Schizosaccharomyces pombe: one gene and its partner. Each later gene encodes a partner of the first gene's protein in a complex. Each region holds a gene or a part of one and is shown on either strand. Other genes may lie near its edges. A codon is read from its position in the direction of its gene.

Region 1 (4,351 bases):
CACCGCAAGCTCCTTACCTGTGTATTTAAGAAGCCCGTGTATACAGGATTATCTAAAGTTATTTTGTTGGTCGTTAAGCCCTGAAGAAACTTGACTGCATCAACTCCTTCAACACGAATGAGAGATTTCGATGAATTTAGACAAACGCTGTAATTTCTAAATAGCTGGAATGAGAACTTTATAAACTTGCTCCTAACGGTGAACCTATTCATTGCCCATAGGTAAAGTACTTGAATTCACTTGGTTTCCTGAGGCTAGAATAGGACTCTTTTACAGTAAACCGAATTTCTAAAATCGATAAGTGGTTGAGATGATGATTTCGCATCACATTGTTTTTGTTACTTTTCGGGGGAATCCAAGGAGGATATGGCAAAATTATTAGTGTATATTATAAAGATATATATTATTATTTGTTTGCAATACAGTAATATCACTGTAGGAAAAAAACCTAAGGTCAAAACATACTGAAGATGAATTTTCTTCGATGAGGAACAAAATTTCCCTTTTCTTAAAAAAATAATATTTAATTCTGGTGTTTATTACTAGAATCGCTCTTAAATTATTACAGGTTTTAGATCATAAGCTGACATCAAGCGTAAAGCTTGTGATGCAAAATTTTATTTCAGCTTCGAACATCAGTTCTATAATTTAAAAAAAAAAAAATTGAATATCGAGTAACAGCTTTCTATTTTGTGTCTTAAAAAAAAAGAGATTGCAAGTTTTCTCCGATATATCCGAAGCATCAGCATACTATAGCCGGAAATGAAGTGATGAAATGACATTGTACGATCCCTGCTCATTTCATTTCATCTACAAATATTAACCATTAATACAACAAAAGAACATCATTACTCTTAACCATGCCAATAGCTCCCCTTGGATATACCAATATGTCAAAAATCATGTTGAGACAATTTAAATGCCAATATATAATCTACATGGAAAAATTAGAACAGTTTAGGTTCCTTTAAGAAAAGAGTAAACAATGAACTTTTGTAAATTTAAATATAATGAATTTTTTATTTTCACACAAACCAAATCTTCCAAGCATTGAGAAAGGAATGAGAAATAACAAAGGGAAAATGAAAGGTACTTCAAGGAAGCAAACATGGATATGCTCATAAATTACCTCTGAGGTGGACGAAACAAAAAAACAAAAGGAAATTAGAGAAATTAAGCATAAACCTGTTTGAACTCGTTTATGATAGCCGGTACCGAGGTTGAAGGTAAAAGCCCCATTTCACAAACACATACAGTAATTAGACGAGGTGGAGTAACATCGTATTTTAGACTGAGTAATTTTAAGTTCTTAACACTTTTCCAATTTGCGAGTACACCAGGTTTTTCTTCAAAGTCATCCACACCCATGTTTACAAGTTGATCGCCAGGTGCAAGTTCATTGTATACCAACGAATCCAATTGAATGCGCTCAGTAAATTTATAAGACTCGCAACACGCTATTACTGGAACATTAGACTCGTGTCCCAAAAGGGAAATTAAAGAGGTACCGGCACGAGAATATAGAGCACCATTCGAAAGCATAGCATGGCCTCCAAGGAAAATTTTGGTCACTTCTTGCATGATATAGGAAAGCGCTGAAATCATGACATAGGTACATTCAATCCCATGCTCGGTCAACAGCTTCAAACAAACCCGGCCTTCAAATTCTGGACGAGAGTCTACCACGACAACCCGGAATTTTTTACCAACATTCTTAGCATGAATGAGAACATCGTTTACTGTCGAAGAGTGCAAGTACGTTAAAATGACATCTCCGTCTTGTATTTTTTCGGTTGCTGCTTGTACGATGACTTGTCCTGCAATGATAATACGATCGCGAATATAACTGTCAATTTTTTCCAGAAGCAATTCTTTTCCCTCGTCGTCGGTAAGGTCAATGTCTAAAACAGAAATTTCGAGTTTTAAAAAGCGAATGGCGTTCCCCATACTGATACTCAACGGACGAGTTGATACTAAATAAGCAATTTGAGAATTTATATGCGTGGTCAGATGCCTGCTCAACGTCGTACCGTAGGGTGTTTGATAATCTTGGATGACGATTTTAAAAGTTTTCAACAAATCAATACAGCGCTGATTCGATCCAAAAATCTTATAATTTGCAAGTTTTAAACCCAAACGAATAACAGCAGGATGGATATCTTTCGGAATATTTTCAGTGGTTCTACGACGTCTCCAATCGAGGTGCGAAAAGATAGAAACTTGCTTTTCCTCAAAAATCTTTTTTTCTTGCAAATTAGCATCAGTTTCTGGACTATTCTGCGGGTTTTGTTTCGATGCCTTCTTTTGTTGGTTACTATTTTTATTAGGGATAGCTACCTTTTTTTCTTCTGAAACACCGGGTGGATTATTCGCGGCAGCTGCTTCGGCTTTTGCTCTTCTACTTGCTTGTTTTCTGGCCTTTTTCAACGCTTTTGCCTCCTTCCCTGAAAGTTTTGGCTCATTGGGAGAAACGACAGAAGAAGCTGTAGCTGGAGATGTTCCTCCCACACTAGAGCTTTCACTAACAGGGCTTTGATCCTTCCCATCCTTTTTTGCTTGTTCTGCTGAGAACCCCATCAGAAAATCAATATTTCTATTAAATTGGTTTGTTTTGGTAGAAGCGTAGATGAGTTTAGCTATAACACCCAACGTGCGCTTAGTGACCTTACCCTTACTACACCAACGCTATTCGACAACGTATACTTGTAGTTCGCATATATATTACTAGAAATTAATTACTTTATCGCCTTAAAATATCATAAAATTAAGAACTTTTATTTTTATTTTTTATAACCGTACAAACGTATTTATGATATTTATTAACAGGAATGGGCAAAAATACAGACAAACTGTACATTACACAAACTGAGCATTCGGGTGTGCATGGGTGGCATGGTGGTATGAGTGGCATAGCCCAAAAGAACAGTACCACAAGTTACAAACAACTTCCTTTTAATTATTGCTCTCTTTCCTTGCAGCCCTTTAACCATCCTTGTTGTCTTGTGGATGAAACCAAGCAAGCCATTATTTTCGATTTTAGGTATGTAAATCACTATTAGATGTGAGTTTCGAAGCAAATTTTTTGGTATTAAATGATATTTGTTTACCAACTAATCTAGTTGCTTTTGGAAATCTTTCATTCTTCATAAAAAAGTGGTGATGAGCGCTAACATGTGTTAGATTTATTGTTCCTTGGCTTCGAAAACATGGTACTAATCCTATTAATGGACAAAAGGCATCAATGTCAGATTTAATAAAGCTCAAGTTTGCAAAAAACAGTGCTGAAGAGTATTGTGATCCAGTTACGATGAAAAGCTTTACGCGCTTTTCACACATCGTGGCTATCCGTTCTACAGGGAATTGTTTTTCTTGGGATACTATTGAACGTTTGAACATAAAACCAAAACATTGGAGGGATCTCGTGAACGAAGAGCAATTTACCAGAGACGACATAATTACCATCCAGGATCCTCATAACGTTGAGAACCGAGATTTTTCGGCCATTCAAAAACAAAAGGAAACCGCAAGAGATGAAAAAATAACCAAGGCCAAAATTGCTTTACAAGCATCTCGCGCCAAGTCAACGGAGTCAACTTCATCACCTGAGTTATCGCATTCTCTCGATTCATCTAAATCTATAGCTTCTGATATGCCAATTCATCGCGCATCCCATACAACTGGTTATGCTGCAGCTTCCTTAACCTCCACATCATTTACTCCTGTAACGAAGAATGAAAGAGCAATTATTGCTGAAGAAGATTATATGCTTAACCATACGCGGATCAAGCACAAAGGATACGCGCGTATTGTTACTAATCACGGAGAAATTAATATTGAGTTGCATACAGACTATGCACCCCATGCTGTTTACAATTTTGTCCAGCTTGCCAAGCAGGGCTATTATCGTAATACAATTTTTCATCGCAATATTGCTAGATTTATGATTCAAGGAGGTGATCCTAGTGGAACTGGAAGAGGTGGTCAAAGTATTTGGGGCAAGCCGTTTAAGGACGAGTTTTGTAACCCTTTAAAGCATGACGATCGTGGAATTATATCTATGGCCAATCGTGGAAAAAATACCAATGGAAGTCAATTGTAAGTGTTTTCTTCTCTATTTTTTAAAAGCTTCAAAGAAATGCAAGTGCTAACCTGATTTATAGCTTTATATTGTATGGACCAGCGAAACATTTGGACAATAAACATACAATATTTGGTCGAGTTGTCGGTGGTTTAAATGTTTTGGATGCTCTTGAAAAAGTCCCTACCAACAGTAATGATCACCCCAAGTTACCAATCAAGCTTGAAGACATCATAATATTTGTAGACCCATTCGAAGAGTGGAAAAAAGATG
Region 2 (4,442 bases), 1.1 Mb from region 1:
TATGGGCTCCATCAGTATGCGACAAATAATCTTCTGATTGATTTCCATTACATCAACTGCTTTTGTTAATACGAATACCTTGCTAACTGTTTTAAGTTTTAAATATTATAATAATGGAGTTAAAGAACGTCCTGTTTTTTATGAACGTTAGGTAAGGCAATTTAATTTTCAAAACAAATAACCGTTCTGCTTTGCAATTGATGAAATATTTGCTTATGATCAATAAATGATTCTTTTATTATCACCAAGATCGCTGAGTGCTAAAGTTTTTGGTTATTTTATTTGTTTTAAATATTTTCGAGTTATTACTAACCCATAGCGATATGAACTTTTTTAGATGTATATGTGTATAACCTTGTATATATGTATAACTTTTTTGCATATATATGTACATGCGTTTTCATCTGTAATTTATTCCCCTTCGCTTTTAGCTAATATTGATCTATGAGTATATATTTTTAATCTAAAAATTCCTGACTAATATCACCTTTACCTTGATTAGTTTAGACACACTTTGTAGAGTAAGTGCACGAAATTTTTATTATATCTATTTCAAAAAAAAGGTTGGCTGACAACGGTTTGATACACAGTATTAGTCCATGTCCGTCTCAATTTTTTCCATATCAACCAGCCGCTCACCCCGAGCGATACGGCCAGCTTCAACGCGATGATCAACGCCAATTTCGCATTCACGAAGTTTTGACTTAGCGCCTATTTGAGCACCTGAGGCGACTATGCAAGATTCTAAACGTACTCCGTCTTCAACAACAATGTTGTCCATCAAAATAGAGTTGCTGACCACTACCCCTTTTCCAATTACACAATTTTTACCGATAATGCTCTTTTTAATGTTGCTGTTATCCTTAATGGTGGTACCTTCATTCACCATACAATCGGCACCGACCAGTGCTCTTTCGGACACGGTGACATCTACAAGGCGTTGTTCTGGAGTAAGTTTGGCGATCTAGTTTGCTGTTAGAGATATTGGATGAAACTGCTAAAAAGCGAGATGAAGCTCAGCTTTCGAAAACATACGCATTTATTAAGTTCGAAATAGTTAGGTAAATTATTAGCCCTAGAACAAATAATCCCATCTTTGGCAATTAAAGCATTAATTTTAATTTCCTGTGAGGATAATCCCCCATCATAATTATCAATATTGTTAGGAGATGACAAAACTTTAATTGTTAGAAAATAGTTAATTAAAAAAAGCACTTACATCTTTGAATGTTCTCTCGTACAGTAAAGGATTTCTGATATTGACATTTAACAAGATACGGGATGAGATCTCCACGAATGCTAGAAATAGATTCTTTCTCCCGGATCAAATCAATAACCCAGTGTTTAAATACAAATATATGGGCATCCGAAAGGTTTGTATTTAACGTAACCCTTGGGTGTTTCCACAACAAAGACATTCTAAATGTAAAATCACTGCCCACGTCTGCGGAACTTTTGGCATACAATAGTCTGCTCGTCTTCTCTTCAATTCCAATCAGTTGTTTTGCATCAATCTCTTTAGATTGACTTGTAATATGCTCATATTTTAACACTGGACTATATACAGCCAGTGCTGAAGGGTTATCAAGGCGAAACTTATCCAAACCGTATATGGGAGGGAGACCAACTATACTATCACAACTGAGACACACAAAGTCATTCTGGTGGGTATCGGTTAGCATTTTTTGTGACTTTAAGACGAGTAATTAAATTGCAGAATGAGAGAGAAAAGATCAAAAAGTCTAAGAACACATGCATATCTACTTATACATAAAAATAAATCATACCTTTATAAGATGGGATACAGCACGAAGAGCATCGGCAGAGCTTTTAGAATCATCTAAAATAGTCGGTGCTTCCACGTGAATACGCATATGTCCCTCGTAGCCAGATCGTAACCAAGCATTGATATGGGCTTCCGCTTCTTCCATGCAAATAAGAATAGCAGAAGTAAATCCAGCAGCTTCAAGCCAATATAATGGGTAGTGAAGCATCGGTTTATTGCCGATAGGTAATAAAGCCTTGGGAAGTGCATCGCTTCCAGTCAAAGGATATAAACTAAAACATGGTTAGTATTTTCTTATTGTTATTTTATCTTTTTTAAGTGTTGATGAAGATAATATGTGCGAAGTCATCATTATCCAAATCGTTAAGTAGTCAGTACTACACTTGTTTGTTTTACCTATTGCCAAATCCTGCAAAAACAACAGCTTGAAATTCAATCGGAATAGACTGTAATTGAATATTCCCCCGATTTCGTCCACCAGAAATAGGTCCAAGGATTGAAGGGCTACTGGCTAAAGGAAGTGCAGCATGCTCATACAACGACATTGTGAGATGTTGTTCTTCAAGGCGTTGGATGCTTTTACAAAAGGTTTTTACCTAAAAGGATGCTTTGAAGCCAAAATCTTTTATAACCTGATAGAAGACGAATTATTGGGTTTTTTTGCAGTACGCCAATATTTGATGAAGATGGAAAACCTTACTTTCCTAGATCCCTACTAACGAGCCAAAAGTTTACACGTTACACATCACTATCTGAAATAAAAATGTGCTGAATTTATATTTGTGTTTAGAAAAATGTATTCATGAAATATGAACTATTGATGATTTTTTTTTAAAATGATTTACCAACTCAAAATGTGGAGCTGCTTGAAAACTAATTATTGCTTTGCACTTGTAATTTTGTTTAATGTGCAATATTAAAAAAGATGTTTTAATAATCAACGATTTATAAATCGGTACGTTTTCGCGATCCTGGTTTATAATCAATCCGATAGTAAAAAATATCAATCAAGCGCTCAGAAAATGATCCTCTGTACACCAATTAAGGAACAAATATTTGAAGCCGGTTAGTAAACTATTATTTTGAGGAATCAGAAGATTAGAGATACAGTACATTGTGTATTGTTTTCATTAGTTTTTTAAGTTTAAAAACCATTGGACTACTGCAATCGTAACAAGTTGAACTAAAAGTTTTGGATTAGATTACCCATAGCTCTCATCTCGGTGATTAATGTATTGTTGTTAACTACCGAGTAAAGAAGGAAGAAAAACCAGAACATTGAAAGATTTTATAACAAATAAATAGTAATGGGATACCTCCGGTAAAGCTCAATAATAAGTTGATGTGTATGCGGCATTACTGTAACACTGCACCACTCTTAACTTCATCGAATTTTTTTTGATATAAGAAGGTTTTATTTAAAGATATATTTTTAAGCTTAAAAAATTTTTTTTGGCAACAAAAATAGCAAACAATTTAATATCATCTACCCTGTCAGCTAAGTAGCAAGCTATACCTGTTACCTATATTAACGTGCGCATATCCCACCTCTCTTTAAGCTTCTATTTAGCGAATCGTTCATCACAATCTTGAGCAGTCATAGTTTCGACTCATACTTCACTATCATTTAAGGCGGACAATAAATTAATTTATACGGCAGCAAAATTTTGCCTTAACAATATACCCAACTACGGTGTTTGTTCAGCGCGTACCTGAAAATCTTTTTTTTTTTGTTTCGTACGCGTTTTAAAAAGTAAGTTAATATAGATATTGATTTTCCAACGCCGCAGTACTTGCCTATGATGATTACCGTTTATTTAGATGCTAGACTTCTGAATTTCATCTTATGTAGCTACAAGGTTTTCTGAGGTCTGCTTAATTGATTAAAATTTTTTATTTTCTGTGATGGTAACATACAACTCATTTTACGGTCGGTACAAAAAAATTGAAATTATATTCCAAGTATTCTCAAACTTTGATTGCTGTCCGAATAGAACAGTCCGACTCATATTATTTTAATCAAGTTATAGCAATTTGACTGGGTGCTGTTTTTTCTTTTGTACATTTAAACCTATCATTTTATTATCTTTTGTATTCAATTCACAACCGAAGCTCTAACAAGTTTTAGAAAATGTGCGGAATTTTGGCGTTAATGCTTGCTGACCCTCATCAACAGGCATGTCCTGAAATTTATGAGGGTCTTTACAGTTTGCAGCATCGGGGTCAAGATGCCGCCGGTATTGTAACCGCTGGAAACAAAGGTCGTCTTTACCAATGCAAGGGATCCGGCATGGTTGCCGATGTTTTTAGTCAGCATCAACTTCGCCAACTCGTAGGTAGTATGGGTATTGGTCATTTGCGCTATCCTACTGCTGGAAGTTGTGCTCACTCTGAAGCACAACCCTTTTATGTTAACTCTCCTTATGGTCTTGTGTTGGGCCATAATGGTAATTTAATTAATGGACCCGAATTACGACGCTTTTTGGACACTGAGGCCCATCGTCATGTAAACACTGGATCTGATTCTGAGCTTTTGCTTAACATCTTTGCTTACGAGCTTCAACGGTTGGATAAATTTCGTATAAACGAAAATGATATTTTCGAAGCTTTGCGTAATGTATACGATCGCGTTAATGGTGGTTATGCATGTGTTGCT

What was found.
Region 2: the proteins of tif224 (region 1) and tif223 are in contact, whole or in part, in a crystal structure (PDB 6JLY), measured with the Schizosaccharomyces pombe proteins. Residues at the interface, in NP_594503.1 of Schizosaccharomyces pombe: Thr133 (codon at 2,181), Thr134 (codon at 2,178), Glu135 (codon at 2,175), Lys139 (codon at 2,163), Asp140 (codon at 2,160), Ile141 (codon at 2,157), His142 (codon at 2,154), Pro143 (codon at 2,151), Ile146 (codon at 2,142), Arg147 (codon at 2,139), Leu150 (codon at 2,130), Lys151 (codon at 2,127), Asn154 (codon at 2,118), Lys172 (codon at 2,064), Ile173 (codon at 2,061), Asp177 (codon at 2,049), Tyr178 (codon at 2,046), Gln179 (codon at 2,043), Phe409 (codon at 1,353); in NP_594962.2 of Schizosaccharomyces pombe: Ile30 (codon at 2,244), Leu32 (codon at 2,238), Gln33 (codon at 2,235), Ser34 (codon at 2,232), Ile35 (codon at 2,229), Pro36 (codon at 2,226), Glu38 (codon at 2,220), Phe39 (codon at 2,217), Asp142 (codon at 1,658), Asp161 (codon at 1,601), Arg164 (codon at 1,592), Leu165 (codon at 1,589), Asn167 (codon at 1,583), Lys201 (codon at 1,481), Ser303 (codon at 1,134).

Annotation. Positions count from the first base shown.
Region 1 is NC_003424.3:4,255,962-4,260,312, reverse strand, and holds tif224 (translation initiation factor eIF2B delta subunit tif224), read right to left. Parts: upstream 2,614-4,351; 5' UTR 2,578-2,613; coding exon 1,174-2,577; 3' UTR 530-1,173; downstream 1-529. Other genes in the region: iba57 (iron-sulfur cluster biogenesis IBA57-like protein), read right to left, coding at 18-212; cyclophilin family peptidyl-prolyl cis-trans isomerase Cyp8, read left to right, coding at 2,829-3,040, 3,181-4,095, 4,161-4,351. UniProt on the Schizosaccharomyces pombe protein: Acts as a component of the translation initiation factor 2B (eIF2B) complex, which catalyzes the exchange of GDP for GTP on the eukaryotic initiation factor 2 (eIF2) complex gamma subunit.
Region 2 is NC_003424.3:5,365,437-5,369,878, reverse strand, and holds tif223 (translation initiation factor eIF2B gamma subunit tif223), read right to left. Parts: upstream 2,475-4,442; 5' UTR 2,332-2,474; coding exon 2,183-2,331; exon of another isoform or gene 2,114-2,182; intron 2,059-2,113; coding exon 1,788-2,058; exon of another isoform or gene 1,665-1,787; intron 1,662-1,664; coding exon 1,220-1,661; exon of another isoform or gene 1,179-1,219; coding exon 1,036-1,178; intron 965-1,035; coding exon 593-964; 3' UTR 501-592; downstream 1-500. Other genes in the region: amidophosphoribosyltransferase Ade4, read left to right, coding at 3,918-4,442. UniProt on the Schizosaccharomyces pombe protein: Acts as a component of the translation initiation factor 2B (eIF2B) complex, which catalyzes the exchange of GDP for GTP on the eukaryotic initiation factor 2 (eIF2) complex gamma subunit.